Linked DNA regions of Macaca fascicularis. The protein of the gene in region 5 interacts with the protein of the main gene of each other region in a pairwise test. Links are inferred from orthologs where the notes say so. Each region holds a gene or a part of one and is shown on either strand. Other genes may lie near its edges.

Region 1 (3,320 bases), on a different chromosome or scaffold from region 5:
GCCAGTGCTTGGCGTGCGGCCAGGGAAAGGGGCAGCAGGGCCTGGTGGCAGCAGTGGTGTCATCAGGCCAAGCAGGACTTGCAAGGAGGAACTGGTGGGGGTAGGGGGTGTGAAGCCCCCCCAGTCCTTGCTGAGAGAGACCTGAGTCTGAGGCAGCTGCTGGATATGCTTGGCATCCCTAGCTGTCTCTCTGGGCTGGGTCCTATGCTGGACACCAGGGTGTGGCAGAGAACAGGACGAGCGAGCAGAGCTGAGAGGAGGGTGAGCTGTGGGCCAGTCAGGGGAAGAGGACCAGCGGCCCTGCTGGGGAGGGCCGAGGGTGGCGCTGGCCTGGGCGGGGTGGGCACCCTCAGCGGTGTCCCTGAGGCTAGTTGGGCAGTCATAGGGAGACCACTCCAGACGCCTCCTCCCTCCTTTCCCAAGGGGGAGCCTCAGGCTCTGGCTCTGCAGGTGTCTGGCAGCCCCACACTGTTGACACGGGCAAGCAGCAGGCTGGCACGGACCTTTACAAAGATAATCTTTATTGATAATCACAGGCCACAGGGGTGAGCCCTGAGGTTTGGGTTCTGGGGTGAAGGAGAACCCCTGTCCCCTGCCCTGGGCCTCTGCTGGCTGAGGAGGGACAAGCTGAGGGGGCCCCCATGGTGCACAGACAACCAGGGCCTCCCCAGCAGGGCAGGAGTGTGGGTGCCACAGAGACAGGCCCTTTGCAGAGCTGACCTGGAACCCACCATCCCCACAGCCCGTGTGAGCACAAAGCCCCTGGGTGGGCTGTGCCCTGGCTTGTCAATGATGCCAGTAGAGGCTGGCAGCCGCCCCTCTCGGCACCGGGGACAGTGAGGGAAGGCAGCTGCTGCTGTGAAGAACAAAGACGCTCTGAGGACAGACTTGTCGGGGCTGAGGTGAGGGGCGCACAGAGGCAGGCCCTGCCCGTGGTCTGGTCAGCTGTCCCTGCCACCGCTACTTTTCTGGTCTGAGGCTGTAGCCTTGGTCAGGTTCCCAGCTTCCCTCTTGAGGACGCTGAGCAAAGTCTGGGAGCTCTCCAGAATCTGGGGCCAGAGAAGTGAGGAAGTTGTTACTGTTCACCTGCTGGGAAGTTCCTAAGCCCCAGCTGTCCTCACACTCAGGTTCTGGGACCTGGCTGTGGGTGCTGTAGCCAAGGGATCCTGTGCGGGGGAAGGCGGAAGCCCAAGGGGACTGGCAGACGGGGTAACAGGGCCCTCTTCCCTCCTGAATCTGACCCAGAACACTTCCTCCCCACCCTCAAAGCCAGGCTGGGTTAGCACTGGCCCAAGACGTGGCTCTTCACACTCTAAGCAGAAAGAACCACATGGCTAGCGAGAACCGGATGAAGACCAGGACCCAGGATGCCCCAGGTCCCCCAGACAGCCCCACGGTCACTCCCGCAGCAGCCTGGGTTCCTCAATGGGCCTGGCCACGCTGCTCCTGCCCGACATGTCAGCGAGGCACAGACTGCCCACAGCTGGGAGCCCCAGACGGTCCTGACGCCCTGCCGCGGCTACACCCCTGCCGCGGCTATCCCCTGATGCTCCGCCTGGCCTCCCGAGCTCCACCTTGAGGTAGGCGGCCTCCGTCTCCGCGATGGTCCGGTCGAACTCGTTGCGAGAGGCAATCTTGCGTGCCAGGTTCTCGTTGACGCGGGCCAGCTTCTCCGTCAGCTGCCTCACCTCATTCTGCAGCCGCTGCTTCTCGTCCTCCTCCTCCTGGATCTGCCGGCACAGCTCTTCCCGCTTCTGGCACAGCTCCTCTATGCCTGGGGGGCCAGGAGGGGCGGGGCTGTGGGCCCAGGGCAGGAGCGCGGCGGCGGAGGGCGGGCCTCCTTCCACCCGAGGAAGCCAGAGTCAGGCACCACCCCCGAGCACCCGGCGCGGGGCCTGCGAGCCAACGAGGGCTCGGGGCCACGGACACCCAGCCCCCGGCACGGAGGGCTCTGCTCAGCTGCGCGATGCCCGCAACTAGGCGGGTCCAGGGGCACCCCGCTGCGAGCCGGGAACCCGGCCCTGCGGCCCTCCCGACCTCCCCGTCCCGGCTGCGCCGCTCACACTTGACCAGCTCGTTGTTGTAGTTCTGCAGCGCCGCGCCCTGCTGGGTCATGGTCTACGCCGCCCGGGGCCCCGCCACCCCAACCGACGCGGAACCAGCGCTGTCCGCGCCTGCGCACGACTCCCTGACGGCGCGCCGAACTACGCGTCATCGCTGAGCGCCTTGTGCGCGTCATGGCTGCGCGTGCAGACTTGCGTCATCGCTTTGCGCCGTGCCGAGGGGATCTCGGAGCCGGTGGCTGCAGATGGCGGCGGCAGTTGTGGTGGCGGAGGGGGACAGCGACTCCCGGCCCGGACAGGAGTTGTTAGTGGCCTGGAATACCGTGAGCACCGGCCTGGTGCCGCCAGCTGCGCTGGGGCTGGTGAGGCCTGGGAAGAGAGCGGCGGCCCCGCGCGGAGTTTCCGGGACCCTATGCACTTTGGGGCGGCCACCTTCGGGTTCATACAGCTCTGTCCGTCATCCGCCTCTGCCCTGTCCTGCCGCTTTCCACCGCCATTCCACTTCATTTCGTTCAGCTCCGCTGGCAGCCCTTCCCTAGTTTCGGCCCAACGTCCGGACACCACGGACAGGGGGCAGCGGAGTTTTTGCAGCCTACCCCTCAGCTTCTTCCCTTCCCCGCCTCTCCCCACCTCTATGTTGTGTTCCCCTCGCTTCACGGTTTTCTGCGCTCCAGGTGTCTTCCCGGACCAGCGGTGCAGTCCCGCCAAAGGAAGAGGAGCTCCGGGCGGCGGTGGAGGTTCTGAGGGGCCACGGCCTGCACTCGGTCCTGGAGGAGTGGTTCGTAGAGGTGCTGCAGAACGATCTGCAGGCCAACATCTCCCCTGAGTTCTGGAATGCCATCTCCCAATGCGAGAACTCTACGGATGAGCCCCAGTGCCTTCTGCTGCTCCTTGACGCTTTTGGCCTGCTGGAGAGCCGCCTGGATCCCTACCTGCGTAGCCTAGAGCTGCTGGAGAAATGGACTCGCCTGGGCTTGCTGATGGGCACTGGTGCTCAGGGGCTGCGAGAAAAAGTCCACACTATGTTGCGCGGAGTCTTGTTCTTTAGTACCCCCAGAACCTTCCAAGAGATGATCCAGCGTCTGTATGGGTGCTTCTTGAGAGTCTATATGCAGAGTAAGAGGAAGGGGGAAGGGGGCACAGACCCGGAACTGGAGGGGGAGCTGGACAGCCGGTATGCCCGTCGCCGGTACTACCGGCTCCTGCAGAGCCCGCTGTGCGCAGGGTGCAGCAGTGACAAGCAACAGTGCTGGTGTC
Region 2 (4,051 bases), on a different chromosome or scaffold from region 5:
TTCTATATATACACACACATATATACATATACATATATACACATACACGTGTATGCACGTATATATGTATACACATATATACATATACATATATATACACACACACACACATACACACACAGTCAGCTCTCTTTATGTTTCGCATCTACAATTAAACCAATCAGGGCACAAAACTTGAAAAAAAAAGACAAAAAAAATAAAAAGTAACACGGATTTTTAAAATTCCATATAACAAGTATTTACATAGCATTTACATTGTATTAGGTGTTGTAAGTAATTAAGAGATGATTTAAAGTGTACCAGAGAGTGTGCAGGTTATAAGCAAATACTATGCCTTTTTATATCAGGGACATGAGCATCTGCAGATTTTGGTATCCTATGCTGAGGGACGACTGTATTACCATAAAGAATGTGCCCCTCAGTAGGGGAGTCAGCAACAAAGGCACAGAAAAGGGAACAGAAAAGGCAGGCAGCAGCCACAATGTCCCTCGGACTGTGCTCCACAAGCATGTATATCCATTGCTTGATGGCATCAGTCACTACAATGAACCTATCTCCTGCTGCTCTGTCTCCAGGCTTTCCGAGCAAACTTCTGCCAGTGATGGGGCTTGATCTACAAGGAGTCTGGTCTCCAAGGAGAAACAATGAAATGACTTGATAATTCTATTCTCAATTATTTTTTAGTCTGTTTTAAGACTGGACTTTAGGCCCTGACTGACATTAACCAATCACCCATGGCACCAAATTGTGAGCTTATTTAAGCAGAGAGCCATACCCTGAATTACAGGGCTAGAGGAACTATCTGCCTGTGGAGAATCATCTGAATGACCAGGCCCTGACAGGCATCTCTCTCCTAATTGCAGGCTTTTTTCCTGCAGCAGCATTAGTAAGTACATATCATGAATAAATGCCGCACCTCTGCAACACAGAATCTTGAAAATGAGTATTTCTATCATAAAATGGCATTTGCAAAAAGGCATAGAGGAGTGTGTCATTATTCCAAGGTGCATGTAAAACACAAATAAAAACACTCGTTATACTTATCAAGTGGAAACATGTAAATATTTCAGTTAAATCAATGTAAGATGAACTTAAAAGAGAATCTAAGAAAAAATGCTTATGCACAAGTTAAGCACCCTCACTAACTCCAAAATTTCTCTACATTCACGAACATTTTCAAAACAGTCAAATTTGTTTCTGCCCCTTGTTATCTGGCTAGCCTTTTTATTATAAGAACAGAATTAGATCCACAGTAGCCATTGTGTTATCACGTGGTCTGAAATGTTAACTGGTCAGGCTGATGGTTATTAACCACTTCTTAATGGACTCCACAATATTCCCAAGTAAGCAATCAGACCTTTAATTTCAACACAGAACTAATGTTCTACAGCTCTTTTTCAAAGAGTTATCATAATCTGAACGAGCCCACAAAAAACAGAATCATCTGTATCATCACCAATAATTCATACTGAGCATTTTACACTGCTCTGTACAGGGCTGACAATACTAGAGGCCACTTCTACCGTGGGAGTTTCTTAGGTTTTTTCAGTAGTTAGCACTGAATGAAATGTAAAAATTTACATATAATTAACTCATATATTTCTTCCTATCTACTATCACTGAATCAGATCCACGACATTTGCTGAAGAATCAAAAGAAGGATGAGGAGGGAGGAGAGGAACAGCGGTGGGCATGGGGGAGGGGATCGCCAAAACCCAACAGGGAGCCTGGGCATGTAGATTACATCAATTTTAACTCAGAGAAAAGCCTCTTCCAGAATTAACAGTGTAGACCCACTGCATGTGCACGGTGACTCTTCCCGATGTATGAAAGGTCAGCAGTGTCAGGCCCCCAAATGAAATTTAATGAAAAAGACGTTGTTCTCACCAGCCAGTAACGCCACCCATTACAATCTGGGTAGCTACTGAGTATTTTTCTACCATAGGTCCCGAACTGTGGCCAAACACTCGATTCCACCACTGGTGTCTTCTTGCATACTCAGTTAAATCCAACACTTCATAAGAGTCGTCATCACTTTCATATTCTTCAAAATAGCAAAATGCAAAAAATAAATGTAGAGTCAATCAAAAGTCAGAAATGTCCCATACATCTTTTTAAATATCTGTTACAACTCATTACTTTTGGCCTACAGCTAAAAATGCCCACATGGAAACTACTGACTTAACTCAATTCCTGAGACCAGGGCCTCAAGAGTAAAGGGCCCTACAACAATGACCCCCATCTGCTTTCCCAAAGGCCCAGGGACCAGCCTGGGGTCACGAAGCCAGGGCCAACTCAGAAATGACACAGTAGTGAGGGGTCACCCCAACCTCCAAATCTTAGTAGGGTCAAGGTCAGAGCAGGGTCCATTTTCATCAGTGGAAGGAATGGAGGTGGGGAGGGGTCCTCCTCTGAGATAACTAGTCTGGAGCCCAGCGAAATCACTTGAGTCTAGACGTTTAAAAAAAGAAAATAATAATACATTTGAAGATGGAGATAAAGGGCCGGAGGTGAAGGTAAGGCAGGAGGTAGGTAGGGCTGTGCTGGGGGGGGGGGGGGCTCTCCGCTTGAGTTCCGGAGGGGGACGAAAAAGTCTAGCTCGGAGGGGGTGCTCAAAGGGGCTGACTTAAAAAAATATATACAGTTCGAAGAATCCTAGGGCAGGGGAAGGAAGAGGTGCCATGGGAGCAAGGTCGAGAGCTGTGAGCCGCGTCCCAGATACCACTTCAGGCCCTCGCCGCTCACCTTGGGGAGGGGGGTTCCGGGTCGCCATGATACCGCCAGCGGCCAATTCTGGAGTGGTCCCCGCCCGCCCTCCTGTCCCTGGCACTTTAAGGGCCGCTCTAGGCAAGGATGGAAATCTATGGTCTCTTTTTCCCTCCTCCTCCTACTCCAGGCGCGTAGTCCTGTCTCCGCCCCCTTCTCTCAGCGCAGGACCTTCTGCCTTCTGCGCACGCGCGAGACTCCGGAATGTGGGCAGGGCCGGTCGGATCATAGCCCCGCGAGAGGGCAGGGGACTTGTAGTCCATTGTCTTCCGCAACTAGGAAGGGGGAGGGACCGCCCCTCCTCGAATTTCCATAACTTGAATTTGATTATTTTGTTTTAAAGAGCCTTAAGGGCTGAAGGTATGGGGGGAAGGGCGCTACATGGTGGTACAAAGGGAAAACCAGCTGGGTATTGACAAAGACTCTCTTGACCAAACTTTAGTCAGGAGGCTCCTCTGAGCTGTTTTTGACTGAGTCTCCTCCTTGGGTCGTCTTTGACCTGCCTAGTCCATTTGTGGCAAGAATCTAGTTAAGTCAGTTTAGTGAGAACTCCCCCACCCTTAATATCGAATCACCCTCGGCCGGGCGCGGTGGCTCAAGCCTGTAATCCCAGCACTTTGGGAGGCCGAGAGCTTGCAGTGAGCTGAGATCTGGCCACTGCACTCCAGCCTGGGCGACAGAGCGAAACTCCGTCTCAAAAAAAAAAAAAAAAAAAAAAATCGAATCACCCTCAATATCCGATCAAATTCCTCAACCCCACCCTTGATATCTGATCATTCTGCCACCAGCAAAAATCCTGTTAAATTGACTTAGCAAGAATACCTCTACCCCTCATGTCTGCTCTTGGTAATCTTCCACCCATTGATCCATTCACTCTGATCATTTACTATAAATTCCTTGCTATAGGCCGGGCGCGGTGGCTCAAGCCTGTAATCCCAGCACTTTGGGAGGCCGAGACGGGCGGATCACGAGGTCAGGAGATCGAGACCATCCTGGCTAACACGGTGAAACCCCGTCTCCACTAAAAAAATACAAAAACAAACTAGCCGGGCGAGGTGGCGGGTGCCTGTAGTCCCAGCTACTCGGGAGGCTGAGGCAGGAGAATGGCCTAAACCCGGGAGGCGGAGCTTGTGATGAGCTGAGATCTGGCCACTGCACTCCAGCCTGGGCGACAGAGCGAGACTCCGTCTCAAAAAAAAAAAAAAAAAAAAAAAAAAAAAAAAAAAAAATTCCCTGCTATATTCAGAGTTGAGACCCATCACTCACCCCTATTGCCATAGTCTTT
Region 3 (3,418 bases), on a different chromosome or scaffold from region 5:
TGGAAAGGGGCTGGGAGAAAAGCCAGCTCCACTGAACAAGGGAAAGGAGCCTGGCAGTGAACAGACCTGGGAGGGGTGGGGGTGGGATGAGCTTTGCTCCTCAGTTGAGTGCTGGAAAGGGGACGGGGGAAGAAATAATTTATTGGGCGATGTAATGGTGCGTGGTTTCAATCATGGCGACCATTCCAGATCTCTCTCAAGTGAAGCTAAATTCTGGCCGGTCTATGGAGGTAGAAATTGAGGATGGAAGGAAAGTTTAGAATCCCTCCTCCCCCAGAGAATAGACATTTATTACCCAGCTCTACCCTCTGGCCCAGCCTGCCTCCCCAAATGGCTTCCAAATCCCTCAGCTAAAATTTGCATCAGAAGATGGAATTGGAATGGGGATGTTGTCTTGCCCAAACCCTCCAGCCTCAGAACTGACAGAGGCTGAAGAGCAGGGGTGGGGAAAAGGAACTTAAGGAATGAAATTACAATTTCCCCTCATCCCCTACTCAAATTCCGGTCCCAGGGCTGGGCTAGGCAGACTGGGAGAGAAGACCAGGCAGCTGTTCTCATTATCAGGGACCCATGCAGACCTGCTGGACAGACATAGGAGGTGAGAGAAGGCCGGGCTGGAGGCCAGGAGGGTTCTTTAGGCTCCTAGAGGGAGAAGCAGGGGCCTGGGGTCAAGGGGGAGTGGGAAGCAACACAGTGACAAACAGTGGGAAGAGCCTTTGAGCCCCTCAAACTTACGGGCCACCCTCCACCACCCGCCCCCCAAGTGCTGACCAGAGGGGCCCCCGCGGGTGGCAGGATAATCAAGGGCAGAGCTTGATGCGGGTGCCCTTGGAGAGCACCCGGAAGAAAGGAAAGACACGCTCGCCCAGGAAGGCAGCCGAGAAGGTGTGCACGTGGGCCAGAGTGTCTGCGTTGTAGAAGCCCAGGCGCCCCGCTTCATAGTCCAGGTACACGCCAAAGCGCCGTGGCTTCTCACTGGGGCTCAGCAGCGTCTGTTCTGTCGAGCTCTGGGCCTGGTAGCGTTTGCCGTTGGTGCCCACGCACCACACCTCCCGCTGGAGCAGAGGCTGCTGGGGCAGGTGGAGCCGGCGGCGGCGATGGTGGTGGCGTGAGGAGCTGGCATCCCCGCTGCCCACGGAGGAACCCCCAGGGCCCACCTTTTCCTTATGATGGGTGGATTCACGGGCAGCGCCCACCGCCCAGCCCCGCCGCCCACCCACCTCTACCTCCCAGTAGTGCCGGCCAGAGCGGAAGCCCTGGGCCCCCAGTACGCAGCAGTCGGCCGAGAAGCGCTTGGGATGGTCAGCAACCTCCTGCCGCCGCTCTGCCAGGCGGACCCCCCGGCGGTCAGGGGACAGCATCAGGGCCGGGTGAGCCGTGTCAGGGTCCAGCGTCAGGTCCACTTGGGAGGAGGGAGGACAAATACGCCAGGGCTGGAACGGCTGTTCCCCTGTCAGCAGCCAACTCCACAGACTGGGCCTTTCCTGCCCGCTTCCTCCCTGAATTCAGCTCCCCACACCATCCCAGAGGCCAGCCTCAGCTTCCTACAGGCTCCCTCTCTCTCCTCTTGTTCCTCAGACACCTGACAGGTCTTCCCCCAGCCTGGCTCTTCTTGCCACTCTACCCCACCCCCACCCTCCAGGCCTGCCTGGACTAGGACTACCTGTTAATGGCTTGAAACCTCAACCTGAGTGGCTGCCTGTATCCTGCTCCATCTCAACCCCTACACTTTCCCTGGGACCCAACTTCCCTCAGGACCCAGTCTCAGGTCTGTGAAGGGAAAGGCAAAGGAAGGTCGTGGAGGTGACCTCCCTACCTCTCGCAGCCTGACAGAACATCCGGCTCATTTTCCTCACGATGGCATCTGTCAGGAAGTCATGGCTATGGGGTTGGCACGGGTCAGGGGACCAGACCTCTGGGGGCTGCAGCTGTACCTCTTCACACCTGGAGGAAGGGGACCGGGCAGGGGGTGGGACCATGATATTCCCAGAGGGAAGAGCAAAAGCTGAGGGGAAGGAGAGGAGGGTCCAGGAGATGGAAACTCAGGTCCTGGGGAAGAAGGAGAGGAGAGGGATACCCAAGAGAAGCAGGGACGGGAACCAGATGCCACTGGGTCACAAAGGGCAAAGAGCGGGAACACACCTATTGAAAGTCTCCTTGATGTCCTGGGAATAAGAGAAACAAAAAGAGGGAGAGGGAGAAAGAGATAAAGAGCGTCAGCTGCACAGGCACAGCTTTCCCGATCTCCAGTCAGAGACTGAGCCTAAGCAGGAAGGGAGAGGCAGCACGCTCACGGCCTCAGTGAACACACATCCACTTCAACCACCCCATGCCTCGCCATGCCTAACTCGCCTCTCCTGCTGTGAGCCCACCAATCCTGTCATTTCCACAATATGACCTGCTCACCTTTTTCAGGATGTCACTGTCAAAAAGCCTTTCCTCAACTGTCATTTAAACCTCTCCTACAACCGAATCTTCATGCTTTTCACTGGTATAATCGTCACACATACCACATTCGACATTAACTGTTTCCAGCTTTAAAACATGTTTTTGGTCTTCAGGTTCAATCACTGTGGGTTCCTCCCAGTGAGAAGAGGCAGCTCTGGACAGGTGTTTGGTAAGCACTGCCTGACAGCCAACACGGAGTGCTGGGGGAACAGGGAGGGGACATTGCTCACCTGAAGCAGCCGGAGACCCCCCTGCTGGCTCCGCTCCTGGGCCTCGGCCAGCAGGCGGCTGAGCTGGGCAGCCTGCTCTGCAAGGCGACTGGCCGCAGCTCCCGCACGCCCCAGCTGGGCTTCATGCATCTCTCGGAGACGCCGTTCCAGCCCTGCCTGCTCTTCAGCCAGAAACCGTGTCAGCCGCCCAAACTCGGAGGCCACCGCTGCCAGCTCTGACTTCATCTGGCTCTGGAATGGTGCAAAGGGGATGACAGATACCACCTCAACACACAGGAAGATAACCTCCAGTTTTGCAACTACCACTTCTCAACGCAAGGCAAAGGAGCCCTATACTCCCCAAGTCCAAGAAAGTCCTGGAAAGAGGCTCATCTCCTACCGGCCTTACTTCTCAGCCTTACCAGATACCACCCCTTGCACCCAGCACAGTGGCCCCAAACTCACTAACCTCTGCCTGGAACACTCCTCTCCACCTGGTCTACATACCTTGACTCATCCTTCAGGTCCAACCTTAAATATTCCAAAAGAAGCCTTCCCTCCTCTCCAGATCTAAATCAGGACCATCCCCACAAATTCCCTGTATCTCTTTGTGGCACATACGACACTGAAATGTTGTGTTTAAATGACATATCTTTTAACATCTTTCCCCCACTGTACCATAAGCTCCGGTTGGCAGGGACTAGGAATGTCTTTGTTTGCCACAGTGTCCTCGGACCTTGACATAGCGCCAACCAGAAGAG
Region 4 (2,799 bases), on a different chromosome or scaffold from region 5:
GGAAAGGAGAAGCTGCCAAGGACTCCGACTTGCTTTCCTAATGCATCATTATCGTGTGTTTCTCTGCTCTCTGGGGTTGGAAAGCCACCCGATCTGTATATTACTAATGTCAGAATGGCAGAATGCCCTAAGAGCTCATTCTTTTCATTGTTTGGCTTTGCTAAGATTTGGCTTTTCTTTTCCAACGTGCATCCAACATCTTGCTCCAGCAAACTGGAGGTGTTCAACAAGCAACCAAGGTGGTGCTTGGCAATGTGCCAAACAGACAATGGGCCGTGGGTGCCTTAGAAGGCAGGTGGTATGAGATCTTCCTGAAGCCAGGTCCCCAAGGACACTCCTGCTACTTTCAGAGTCTGGGATTCAGAACAGAGTCTGCTTCCTGATGCCCAATACTCCAAGAAGGTGCAGGGGACATGGTAAATACTATACAATATAATCACATAAAAAGCTCTCTCTGTCATAAGGTGCCTCATCCACCTCTACCTAAACTCCCCCACCTACCCGCAGGGGCCCCCTTTTTCTTCCCCAGACTCCAGGTCTGTCCTCCCTGGCCCCAGGGTCCCATCCTCCCTCCTGGCTGGCCTCGGGCAGTGCCCATGCTGGACTCCTGGCCCCTGCAACTCCAGCCTCCACCTGCCAGCAGACACTCACCTCGGAAGTTGAGGGCAGAGAAGGTTTGGATGGGGAGATTGATCCTAAAAGGGAAGAGACCAAGCCTCCTAAGAGTTAAGAAACCTCCCATCATTCCCTGAGACCGCCCATCAAGGCTCACCCTGGTCCTTTCTAAACCCCATCCTCAGCTGTCCCAGTCCCACGGACCCCAGCACTCCCGCCACCCATACTGCTCAAGGAATGGGGTCAAAGGTCAGCTAGAGCTGTCCCAGGAATAGTCTCTTCTGGAAGGATCATTCATTTCAACTGTGACCTGCTGGCATGACACCAGGATGCGCAACCCCACTGCACCCTCCAGAGCACCAGGATTTCCTTCTTGCTTCTGGCACTGAAAGTCATATCAGTAGCAGCTGTGGGTGATATCCATTGCTCATGCCCACCCTCCAGCCAGGCCAGTTCTGAGAGCTTACTATTTAGGCCTAATGCTGGGAAAACGTAACATGCCTTTAGCTACCTTCAAAGGCCATCACATGAAGACGTCATTTTACTAAATCTGAAGTTTCTCTTTATGTGTATACCTATATCTAAACATGTCTTCTGTTTTTCAAAAATTTCAGATATTATTTTTATGAGTATCAGGGGGTACCAGTTTTTGGAGTAATTGATCTGTTTTAAATTGAGGTTAAATTTACATACAGTGAAATGCACAGATCTTTAATGTACAATTCAATGAGTTTTGATCAATGTCCACGTCTGTGTAACTACCAGTCCAAATCAAGATATAGAACATTTCTAGGCCAGGTGAAGTGGCTCATGCCTGTAATCCCAGCACTTTGGGAGGTCAAGGCAGGCGAATTACTTGAGGTCAGGAGTTAGAGACCAGCCTGACCAACATGGTGAAACCTCATCTCTACTAAAAATACAAAAAGTCAGTTGAGCGTGGTGGCACACGCCTGTAATCCCAGCTACTAGGGGGGCTGAGACAGGAGAATCACTTGAGCCTGGGAGGCAGAGGTTGCAGTGAGCCAAGATCACGCCACTTGCACTCCAGCCTGTGCAACAGAGCAAGACTCTGTCTCAAAAAGAAAAAAAGAAAAAAGATATAGAACATTTCTGTTATCCCACAAGGTTCCCTGGTGTCCCTTTCCAGTTGTATATTGTTTTCTGTCTAGAGGTGGGTTGCTCTGAGCATGAAGTTTATGTCTTTTCCTCCGAGCATGTGCGTGTGCTTACGTGTGTGCATGTGTGTGTACACTCATGCCTTCTGTATGCATCTCTTTACCTTCTCTTAGCCTATCCCTGTGCAAGGCTTCTCTCCCTCCCTCTCTCTATTTGCCTCTAACTGCTCCCTCCATTTCCCTCCTCATCTCTCCCCATTCTGCTTTCATCTCTCCCTTGACTGGCAGTAATATTTTATTATTGGTTGCTGAATATGTTTTTTTGCTACTGGTTCTTAATTCTGAAGGTGGATAAGGGAATACTTATATTTCTCTTTTTATAAATGCTGTTAATTAAATTGCTTTTTACCCAGGTGGCCTTGGTTAATTCTCTGCAATTAATACAGCAGTGGCCTCTTGTATAAAATTGTTTCCAGGCTGGGTACGGTGGCTCACGCCTGTAATCCCAGCACTTTGGGAGGCTGAGGCAGGTGGATCACCTGAGGTCAGTAGTTCAAGATCAGCCTGGCCAACATGGTGAAACCCCATCTCTACTAAAAATTCAAAAATTAGCCAGGCATGGTGATAGGTGCCTATAATCCCAGCTACTCAGGAGGCTGAGGCAGGAGAATTGCTCGAACCCGGGAGGTGGAGGTTGCAGTGAGCCAAGATGGTGCCATTGTACTCCAGGCTGGGCAACAAGAGCGAAACTCCGTCTCAAAAAAAAAAAAAAAAAATTGTTTCCATGTCTTGTTGAGGTAGCCTCCTGGGGACAGGAATGGGCCACCCAGCACCACCCACTTCCCCACTCCGGCTCCTGCCTGGCCCCTCACCGGCTCTCCTCTCCCTCCAGCAGTTTCCGGTAGGTGGCGATCTCCACATCCAGGGCCATCTTCACATTGAGCAGGTCCTGGTACTCGCGCAGGTGGCGGGCCATCTCATCCTTGAGGTGCCGGATTTCCTCCTCCAGGCGCGCGATGTTGTCCTGGTAGCCACTGGCCTCACTGGCAAATCGGTCCTCCAGTTCCCG
Region 5 (2,477 bases):
TGTACTCAGATACATATACACAAACTTTATCATAACATTTCAGGGGTTATTGACTGATAAAATCTATTCATAGACGCTCTAATTTCAAAACCTCAATCTAGAGGCTAGTGTAGGGTGAAAATAAGTTGCAAGAACTCAAAATTAATTCCAGGATTGAAGAAAAAGTTAGTGGGTTTTTTTTTAACATTAATTTGAAAACAAGTCACTTTGGAGACAAAATTACTACTTTCAGGAATCATTTTCATTGATGTCTTTAATTTCACAAACCAAATTATATAAAATTAAGTAGTATATATTTCAAACGTAATAATTGTGCTCTGTACAATTCAAGGCACACTTGGATTTTTTGTTGGTTTTTTGTTTGCTCTTTAACAACGGAAAACTTATACTCTATTCATTCAAGATTTTTCCATCAGAACTTTCATTTTGTTTGGGTTCACAGGTGAAAATATTGTGAAAGTTCATTTCCACCACAATGAAGGATAACATCTTCAGCCCCATTTATTTACTAACAACTTTATTGAGATACAATTCACATACCATATAATTCACCCATTTAAAATATATAACTCAATAGTTTTTAATATATTGTTATGTGACCATTACCACAATAAGTTTAGACCATTTTCATGAACCATAGAGAAATCCTGTACCTATTAGATGAATCCTGTACTCCCCATCCATCATCCCTAATTCTAGCTTTAGGCAACCACTAATGTACAGGAAGTATTTTTTATAGAGACAGGGTTTTGCTATGTTGCCCAGGCTGGTCTCAAATTTCTGACCTCAAGCAATCCTCCTGCCTCAGCCTCCCAAAGTGCTGGGATTACAGGTGTGAGCCACTGTGCCTGGTCCTTTATTTCTTTTTATGACTGAATAATAGTCCATTGTATGGATATACCAGAGTTATCTATTCATTAGTTAATAGACATTTGGGTTGTATCCAACTTTTGGCCATTATGAATAATTCTGCTATAAATATTTGTGTACAAGTTTTTGTATTGACCAGCCCCTTAATTTTTGACTACACAACGCAAAAAGTAAAAAGAGAAGAACTCTTATAACAAAATTATACAAAATATGTTTTGCAACAATTTTAGATTTTTCAAGATTCAACCATTTCCATATGTAACATCACAGAGGCCTGTCATGACAGGGAAACTGGCGTCATTACTCTATCATAGAATTGGGAAATTCCAGAAGGTTAGATGTTCTCTAAGACCCTTCTTACACTAAGTTAACGACTTACTCCTTTCTATTATTTCTTCATAAACAGAAGAGGAAAGACCAGAAGAGGAAAGGCTTGCCATACTAATCTGAGTTCCCTGTGCTGGTTTGAAGTACTCAGTTCCCTTACCAATTTCCAACCATGTTTTTCCTACGACTTCAATGTTTGTTGAGTGTATGTATGATTCATAAGATTTCTGATCAATACTATGTGTGTGACATTGAAAGGAGTCAAAATCAATGTATGACTTAGCTGCATTTATCATTTATTAATTGATGACACATGTATCCAATAATCAAAACATTTGAGAATCTCAACTTATGCCTGAGCCTCTTTCATCAGCGATTATGATATTACATTCACACAAGTTCATGCATTGAATTTATCTGATAAGGACAGATTCAGAGGCATAGGAAGCACATTCCTAAAGATTTGACCATTAGAGTCGTCACACAGAAGACTCTACTGATTATTTCTTTTGCTTTGTATTTCAGAACAATCTTACTTTGGATTTTTGATTTAATTTCACTGAAATTCAGTGAGCATTACCTGATGCTAGCATGTGAGGCATAATCTGGAAGGCTGAATCACAAGTTACTGCTAGGGGAGCCTGCCAAGCTTTGCCATTCTTTCAGGGGAGGGTTTCCCTGAGAAGCCAGTTTTTTTAGATAGTCACTGGGCTCCAGTTGGGGAATATCAGGGTTCTGCCTGTAATATTTCTGCAACTTCTCTAGAACTGTGGGCAACCCAACTGTGGAAGCATAGAACATGGGTCCGCCCTTGTGCCTTGGCCATCCATATCCATGTAAATAGACAACATCAATGTGCTCTGGGCTAGTAGCTATACCTTCTCCCAAGATATGGAATGCTTCATTGATAAGTGAATATAAGCAGCGCTCAAGGATCTCATCCTGGCTAATGGTACGTGGTTCAATGTGATAGGTTTCTCTATACTGTGATAGGAATTTGGAAAGCCAGGGATCGGGTTTGTGAATCCTACCCAATGGCTTGTCATACTGATACCAACCCTTACCTGTCTTCTGGCCAAATCGTCCTAATTCACAGAGCATATCAGGAATTGGGCAGTATCTCCTATTGCCCCTTTTTCGGGCAGGAGTTCCTGGAGGCAATGTAGGTCCAGTAAGACCTTGCCCCTTTCTAGATTTCCAGCCCACATCCAACCCAGCAAGATCGGACACTCTAAAAGGTCCCATTTTAAAACCAAACTCTTCCAGCACCTGATCTACCT
Region 6 (2,657 bases), on a different chromosome or scaffold from region 5:
GAGGTCAGGAGTTCAAGACCAGTCTGGCTAACATGGCAAAACCCCATCTCTACTAAAAACACAAAAATTAGTCGGGCACGGTGGGGCATGCCTGTAGTCCAAGCTACTGGGGAGGCTGAGGCAGGAAAATCTCTTGAACCCAGGAGGCAGAGGTTGCAGTGAGCCGAGATCATGCCACTGCACTCCAGCCTGGGTGACAGAACAAGACTTCATCTTTAAAAAAAAAAAAAAAAAAAAAACCCACACAACCTACCTCACAGGATGCTGTGAGAAAAATGCCGAGAGGTGAGCTGCATTTACTGCATGGAAACAGCTGACCTCAGAGTAAGCGCTTAACAAGTTACAGCGATTTATATTGAGAAACGGGCCCAGACACAGCCTAATGTGAAGGATACAAGAACACTGGTACATGGCAGCGCCACTCCACATACTTCAGGCAGGAATTCCCCAGCAGACAGCAAGAGGAGGCATGGCACTGGGAACCCATAAAAGCCTTACAGTTTCAGCATATGTGAAAGCAGAATGCCAAGGGTTCCAGCTCAGTTCTGCTACTTGCAAGCTGTCTTATCCATTCTCTCCAGTAAAAGAAGATAAATCCCACCCTGCCTACTGCACAGAGAGCCCGTCAGGCTCTCTGCTGATACTTGAACCCAGGCCCTTGGACACAGCCCAGACAGCTGCTAGCCCAGCTGCCCCTAGGAACAGAGAAGAAGCAACTAGGGGCCAAGGAAAAAGGGGGATTTCTAGATTTGCAAAAAGCTTAGCTCTGGGACAGGCCAGGAAACCAGAAGTGAGAGGGCTTCATGGAGCTCGATGAGCGACCATCAGAAATACCCCAGCACCTTAGCACAAAAGTCCAGCCTGCCTTTTGGAAGCACTGCAGTTCTTATTCCAGAAATCATGCAAATTTCTAGTTTGCATCTGAAGGAGGATCGAGGTATCATGACATTAAGCCTTTAGGCAGGTTTCAAACCATAAAAATGCAAAAAAGAAAGACAGACAGACAGATTGACTGATTGACTGATTTTAGAGACAGGGTCTCCCCGTGTTGTCCAGGCTGGCCCTGTACTCCTGGGCTCAAGCGATCCTCCCACCTCAAGCTCCCAAGTAGTTAGGACTACAGGTACACGCCATCACACCAGCTGATTTATTTATTATCATCCAAAGTTTAAGTAGAATTGCAGCAGGACTCAAATTTTGATATTGGACATTTACTATCTTGCACAGAACTTGGCTGCAGCCGAATTAAACAGCATAGGATAAAATTCACTCTGAACACAACTAAATTAGTACACATTGGACAAACAGCAAAGGACCAATGGATATGCCAGACCAGATAAAACACGGAAAGAAAATAATCAGAAGTTGGTTGGGGATTACTAGTATTTTTTTTTTTTTTTTTTTTTAAGTCCTCCTAGGTCAAGTACAATAGAAATGGCACTTTCTTTTTAGGGTTCTCCCACACAGCTGCACTGTCTTCCCATGCCAGCAGAGGGCACCCTTCAGCTTACAAAGACTCACCGCTTTCTTTTGGATGAAAATTTGTGCATCTTTCAGGTGGCCTGCAATGTTCTCACACAGACGTTTCCTCTGTTCCTCATTCAGCACGTTCACATAGAATGCCCGCACCTGCTCAGGGAAAAGAGCAAGTGCAGAGACTCGAATCACCAGTTTATCACCAACAAAGTTCACCTACTACAACACTTATGAAATCAATGATAAAAAAAGTTAGAATTTAAGAATAATTTTAAATTACTAACTAAAACTGTCATTTGGGTTGTGTTCATTTTTTGTTTTAAGCAAAATAAGTAAAATTCATTTATTAATAGCTCTTAACTGCTTTCTAATAATATCCTTTATAGTAACTGCTATAAATCTCTTATAAATAGATCTACAATTTAAAACCTCACCACATGCTTAATACTGACAAGTCTAAAATGTGCAAGCTGCCTTTGAATGTAAACTTAGCACAATACAACCTTTGTTCAATTCACCCAGAACCATGGAGGGAAATAAAAACTAATTTAGCTAGAGATATAATTTGATATATAGATATGTAATTATATATAGAGAGAGATAATATATCTAAAAACTACTTCATTTATACATGTGCATCTATAGTTATTCAGAAGCCAATATTTCTTAGGCAAAACATATGAATAGTGATATTTTGCTAGATTATTGGGTTTGCCTCTAAAATAAATATCCATAAATTAAAATGAAAAATAGGAGCTTAGTATCAGGTATGTGAATCCAAGCAGCCTCTGCCCAATTCTGAAACACGTTGTAGCTATGATTTTATTCTTACATTTCATTCATTCATTCCACTCATTCAACAAATATTGAGTATCTATAATGTGCCAGACTCTGTTCTATGTGCTGTTCTATTAATGTTTATAAAGTCCAATAATATCCAATTATCCAAAGTATCACCTTCATAACATATTAAGAGATGCATCATTTCCCTAAGTCATCAAATATCAGGCTATAATTATGTTTTTAAATTTTTGAGTAAAGTTTAAACCTGCTACCGAAGTTAATCAGACATAACACAATCTAATCAAAGTACTATATCCTGGGGATTTTCTCAGGCCTATCTCCAATTCACTAATTCTCTCTTCAGCTGTATTTGACATATTTTGTGAAAATGTCAACTG
Region 7 (3,957 bases), on a different chromosome or scaffold from region 5:
GCCCCCAGGCCCAAGTTAATACAGTGTTGGGGTATTTTGATTGGTTTGATCAATATTCTGGGCCTAGATTGTCAAAGGCAGTTTCCTAACTTTAAAACATCATGACAGAGAAATTGATGCAATCTGCACCATATATGGAGGTAAACTGAGGAAGCTATGTGATCCAGAAATAACTTTCCAGGGATCAGCTCAGGCCAGCCACAGCCTGATGGCCCATGTGCCAAGAGGGGTCAACAACTGGGTATGTCTGCAACCCACTCATCATTTACCAGTGCTCTGTGGTCCATCCATTGAGAAGCTAATTAATTTCATAATATCAGATCGTTTCTCAGAATGATCACCCTAGAAACGAGCCGTCAAGTAGGTTTGCAGCAAACCATACTTCATATGGTGCACACTATACTTCTCTCAGGGAGTCAAAACACGTATTAGTAAATGAACATATTAAGGCTCTGAGAAGACCTATTTCCCATTGTTTTTTTTTTTTTTTTTCTCCAGTATTTTCCAACCTCTTTTAACCAGGGCACCTAATAACATCTTGCAGATCTAAGGAGGCTGCTGAATCGTTCAACCCTCCATGCAAGCACACAGTACTGTGACTCGAAAAGGGTCAATGCAACAATATAGGTCCTAACTGTCTTTAATTGGAGGATTAGTTCAGACACTGGAAAAACTTTAATCTTTAAGAAGGAATCCTCCTGGAACTTTGTTAACACTAAACTGTTAAATACCATAAACAATATTATTACCCCCAAACAGGCTGCTGAGGAGCCAGGGATGAGTAGATTCTAGCCGTGAGACTCCCAGTCATCTGCAATAATTCATATGCCACTGGCAAGGATAATTCTAAACATGAGATCTAAAAACCCTATGCATACACCGCCCCCTTGCCCTCCCTACCCCAGGAGACTTATCTGTCTTTCTGGTTATATATTCCCTTGGCTGTTAGTATAATTAGTGCATAATAACTATGTACATATCAACTCACAGGAAAAACGGCAGACGTGCTGGCTGATTTGGCTTGGGGCCATCTCATCGGCAGGGTGAGACAACCTGGTATTAAACCATCTGTTATTAACTGTATATTCTAAAATAGTGTTTTGTGTCTCCTGGGTTGCTGACTCCCATTGACAGCAACAGAATGTCAAGACTCATATTTTTCTGAGCAGCACTGAGGAGATAAACTTTAAAACATTTGCATTGTCCCTTCTGTTCTGCTGCTTGTGCTATTAAGAATTTTATTTACTAAAATGTCCATTGTATTATACACGGTGCTTTTCTATGTTTCATTCTCACGGAGGTGAACAAGTTTCATTTAAACTGTGTCCTTGCGAAAGTTATGCTTTCTAGAGTCAAAGATCCTAGAGAAAATTGGCCATAGCTTTTGTCCCTATGACTAGGCAGTTGCCAATGCCTGTATGAAATCAATAGTCTCACTAGGAAATGGACTATCACTTGCATTTTTTAAAAAGGTGGTCATTTTCTCAAATCTGCTTGTTTGCACTGATTACTTTTCTTTAAATTAACTTAAGTAATTAATTTCATAATATCAGAAATCTGAAATTGAGTCTTTGTGCCACTTGTTGCAGTCAGTAGCACAAACCTGCTGCCCAAACTCAGGATTAAGTTTGTATATGACAGAAAACAACAGTATTCCTTTGAAAGACGAGCAGTCAAATCATTCAACACAATTATCCAAGTTAATTCAACTCAAAAAACCACATCACCACGAAAAAATAAAAATAAAAATTTTTACCTGATTCCAAATCACTTTTGACAGCTACAAAAAATTGACTTTCTTTGCAAAAGTTTTACCTCTGCCCCAGAACTCAGTTGAAACAATTTTTTTCCTTTCCCAGTTGTCTCTTATAATTGGCTGTTTCCAAATATAACTAAAATTTCCCTGCAAGTCTGTTAAACAATTTCACATTTCCATGTTTAATTACATTCAGATTGAGATTTTTGTACACATAGAGAATATAGCCAGATTTTGACTCAAGTGACCACAATACCTTTGACATAAAGCCTTTATACACCATTCTCGCCATATATAAAAATAGACATACGCTCCTTGTCAAAACACAAGAGCGAGCTTCTTTACATTGTCTAGAACAAAGAGGCCAGCTCGGCTTCTATTTTTCCTAAGTGTCTCAGAAGGTGTCCTTTATTACATATGCAGGACGCAAGGATTTTGCTGCTGTGTGAATGAAAAATGATACCTTCAGACTGCCTTTTTAGTGACAAATTAGGCTTTTGTAGACCATCACACTGCCTGTGGTTTTAAGAACCCCATTTAGATTTACTATCACTTCCTTGGGGACTCAGCCTTCCTCACAAAGCACCCCAAGGCTAATTTCCACTGTTTTAGAGTGTAACAAAGATGAGAAAGTTTGCTCATCACGATAGTATAGAAACGCTTGCCTAGGAAAAACACTCTCTGGAATGTCTAAAGTGCTAAAAATCATTCCCTCTGTGGATTCTTGGTGTGCAAAACAGGCAGAAAAAGTTGTGTGGAGGTATTCGCAAAGCATTGTATTTGTTCAGGAAGGAGTTGTGGGGTTAGAGGCTGAGCAACGCCTTTTACTTTGCTTCCTGGGTGAGAGCAGACAGGCGTGCCACTTAGCAGAAGCAAGCAGAGAGAGAGTGGTAAGACTCACCGGCTTCCCCATTTTTCCCAGGACAGGGGTTTTTGTTCCTCAGTTGTGATCTGGAAGAGACAAACCTGTAGGTCCTCCAAGCAGGCTGGTCTGGGGCAAGTGCCGGCTCTTTGCCTCGGATCAGCTGAATGGCTGGGGCGTTCAGGAAGCTTGCTCTGTCCAGCTCAGAATCACTCCCCCTCTCCAGGGTGTGTGCTTACACGCCTCTCAGTCAGCGCGAAAATCCGCCAAACTCAGGTCAGTCTAACAGGTTTCCTTATATAGGTAAACATGAATTGCATTCCTGGTGAAAGAAGTTAACTAGGAATCCTGGTAACCTGGTTAACTCTACACACGCCAGAATGGCTCAGAGTCGGTCAGCCTGCGTAGGGGTTTGGTTGCAGTACAAAAGGATTTGTGCAATTTAATTAAAATCATCTTTATCCTGGCAGTCTGTAAAATTGGCCCTTGTAGTGTAACTGTGAGTCAACAGCTAGTATTTTATATCATGGGCTGTGACCAGCCTTATATTATCTGAAGGCATTGTAGGGGAAAAAAGTGTAGCATTTTATAAGTTGTCTTTCATGTTTTTAAAACCAGAGTAATTGAACTTGAGATTATTTTCAAAGAAGTAAATAGAACATGTGACAGAAAGAGAATGTGAATAAACCTCCATCAAGTAAGGCTCAAATGCCTTATTTGAGCATAGTAACGAACACTTATTCAACTTTCCCAGGCCTTTGGTAGATAATGCAAAACAATCATTTTGAGTTTTCTCCCTTTACAATGCAGTAATCACTACTGTATTTTTTGATGGGCAAAATGATAGATAATGACATCTATTCCAGTAACAACCCTCCTAAGCCCGCATGCTGATGTGTTATTTGATGGTTTCAGGAAAGAAATCTAAGACTTGCGAATTTGCATACTTGGATGTAAACATTTTTAAACAACTTCCTCGATTTAAGAAGACAAGAAAATATATCTTTAAAAGAACTCTATAGCTCTTCCCCTTACATTTTATCTACCACCTAGTAAAGTAATAATTTTAAAAAATTCTAGCCAATTCCACTGAAGACAATATAGAGACTTGAGACTTTCCTATGTACTAGAGATGAAGATTGTCTGCTAAAAAGGACCTATCTCAAAACAAAACACTTGTTTTTGTTTCATCCATGGGTTGACTGCTCGTTGAGTAGTGGCAACATTATTAAAAATAGCTCAAGGCTGTTTTAGGTCTCTGCTTAAGACAAGCGAGAAAATGAATCTTCAGATGCCACCTAAGTGAGCACCAACACAAACCAATGTCAAAGAGCTTCTG

The links.
Region 1: the proteins of EHHADH (region 5) and SSNA1 interact in binary tests that used the Homo sapiens proteins (3 or more experiments, as listed by UniProt). The two-hybrid records come from large-scale screens. The link is inferred for Macaca fascicularis from reciprocal best matches to the Homo sapiens genes EHHADH and SSNA1.
Region 2: the proteins of EHHADH (region 5) and FUNDC1 interact in binary tests that used the Homo sapiens proteins (3 or more experiments, as listed by UniProt). The two-hybrid records come from large-scale screens. The link is inferred for Macaca fascicularis from reciprocal best matches to the Homo sapiens genes EHHADH and FUNDC1.
Region 3: the proteins of EHHADH (region 5) and TRIM41 interact in binary tests that used the Homo sapiens proteins (3 or more experiments, as listed by UniProt). The two-hybrid records come from large-scale screens. The link is inferred for Macaca fascicularis from reciprocal best matches to the Homo sapiens genes EHHADH and TRIM41.
Region 4: the proteins of EHHADH (region 5) and DES interact in binary tests that used the Homo sapiens proteins (3 or more experiments, as listed by UniProt). The two-hybrid records come from large-scale screens. The link is inferred for Macaca fascicularis from reciprocal best matches to the Homo sapiens genes EHHADH and DES.
Region 6: the proteins of EHHADH (region 5) and CAT interact in a two-hybrid assay, tested with the Homo sapiens proteins (2 studies listed by BioGRID, with this or other methods). The link is inferred for Macaca fascicularis from reciprocal best matches to the Homo sapiens genes EHHADH and CAT.
Region 7: the proteins of EHHADH (region 5) and MID1 interact in binary tests that used the Homo sapiens proteins (3 or more experiments, as listed by UniProt). The two-hybrid records come from large-scale screens. The link is inferred for Macaca fascicularis from reciprocal best matches to the Homo sapiens genes EHHADH and MID1.

The regions. Positions count from the first base shown.
Region 1 is NC_088389.1:2,127,392-2,130,711, forward strand, and holds SSNA1 (microtubule nucleation factor SSNA1), read right to left. Parts: upstream 2,189-3,320; 5' UTR 2,116-2,188; coding exon 2,064-2,115; intron 1,775-2,063; coding exon 1,575-1,774; intron 1,050-1,574; coding exon 942-1,049; 3' UTR 501-941; downstream 1-500. Other genes in the region: ANAPC2 (anaphase-promoting complex subunit 2), read left to right, coding at 2,309-2,425, 2,738-3,320. UniProt on the Homo sapiens protein: Microtubule-binding protein which stabilizes dynamic microtubules by slowing growth and shrinkage at both plus and minus ends and serves as a sensor of microtubule damage, protecting microtubules from the microtubule-severing enzyme SPAST.
Region 2 is NC_088395.1:44,596,139-44,600,189, forward strand, and holds the start of FUNDC1 (FUN14 domain-containing protein 1), read right to left. Parts: upstream 2,801-4,051; 5' UTR 2,774-2,800; coding exon of another isoform or gene 2,746-2,773; 5' UTR 2,643-2,745; exon of another isoform or gene 2,452-2,642; 5' UTR 2,377-2,451; coding exon 2,331-2,376; intron 2,045-2,330; coding exon 1,888-2,044; intron 1-1,887. UniProt on the Homo sapiens protein: Integral mitochondrial outer-membrane protein that mediates the formation of mitochondria-associated endoplasmic reticulum membranes (MAMs).
Region 3 is NC_088380.1:188,328,865-188,332,282, reverse strand, and holds the end of TRIM41 (E3 ubiquitin-protein ligase TRIM41), read right to left. Parts: intron 2,910-3,418; coding exon 2,679-2,909; intron 2,166-2,678; coding exon 2,143-2,165; intron 1,945-2,142; coding exon 1,817-1,944; intron 1,403-1,816; coding exon 801-1,402; 3' UTR 643-800; downstream 1-642.
Region 4 is NC_088386.1:115,353,388-115,356,186, reverse strand, and holds part of DES (desmin), read right to left. Parts: coding exon 2,603-2,799; intron 696-2,602; coding exon 652-695; intron 1-651. UniProt on the Homo sapiens protein: Muscle-specific type III intermediate filament essential for proper muscular structure and function.
Region 5 is NC_088376.1:97,125,400-97,127,876, forward strand, and holds the end of EHHADH (peroxisomal bifunctional enzyme), read right to left. Parts: coding exon 1,816-2,477; 3' UTR 501-1,815; downstream 1-500. UniProt on the Homo sapiens protein: Peroxisomal trifunctional enzyme possessing 2-enoyl-CoA hydratase, 3-hydroxyacyl-CoA dehydrogenase, and delta 3, delta 2-enoyl-CoA isomerase activities. Catalyzes two of the four reactions of the long chain fatty acids peroxisomal beta-oxidation pathway.
Region 6 is NC_088388.1:31,108,615-31,111,271, forward strand, and holds part of CAT (catalase), read right to left. Parts: intron 1,630-2,657; coding exon 1,522-1,629; intron 1-1,521. UniProt on the Homo sapiens protein: Catalyzes the degradation of hydrogen peroxide (H(2)O(2)) generated by peroxisomal oxidases to water and oxygen, thereby protecting cells from the toxic effects of hydrogen peroxide.
Region 7 is NC_088395.1:10,521,261-10,525,217, forward strand, and holds the start of MID1 (E3 ubiquitin-protein ligase Midline-1), read right to left. Parts: upstream 2,801-3,957; 5' UTR 2,658-2,800; intron 1-2,657. UniProt on the Homo sapiens protein: Has E3 ubiquitin ligase activity towards IGBP1, promoting its monoubiquitination, which results in deprotection of the catalytic subunit of protein phosphatase PP2A, and its subsequent degradation by polyubiquitination.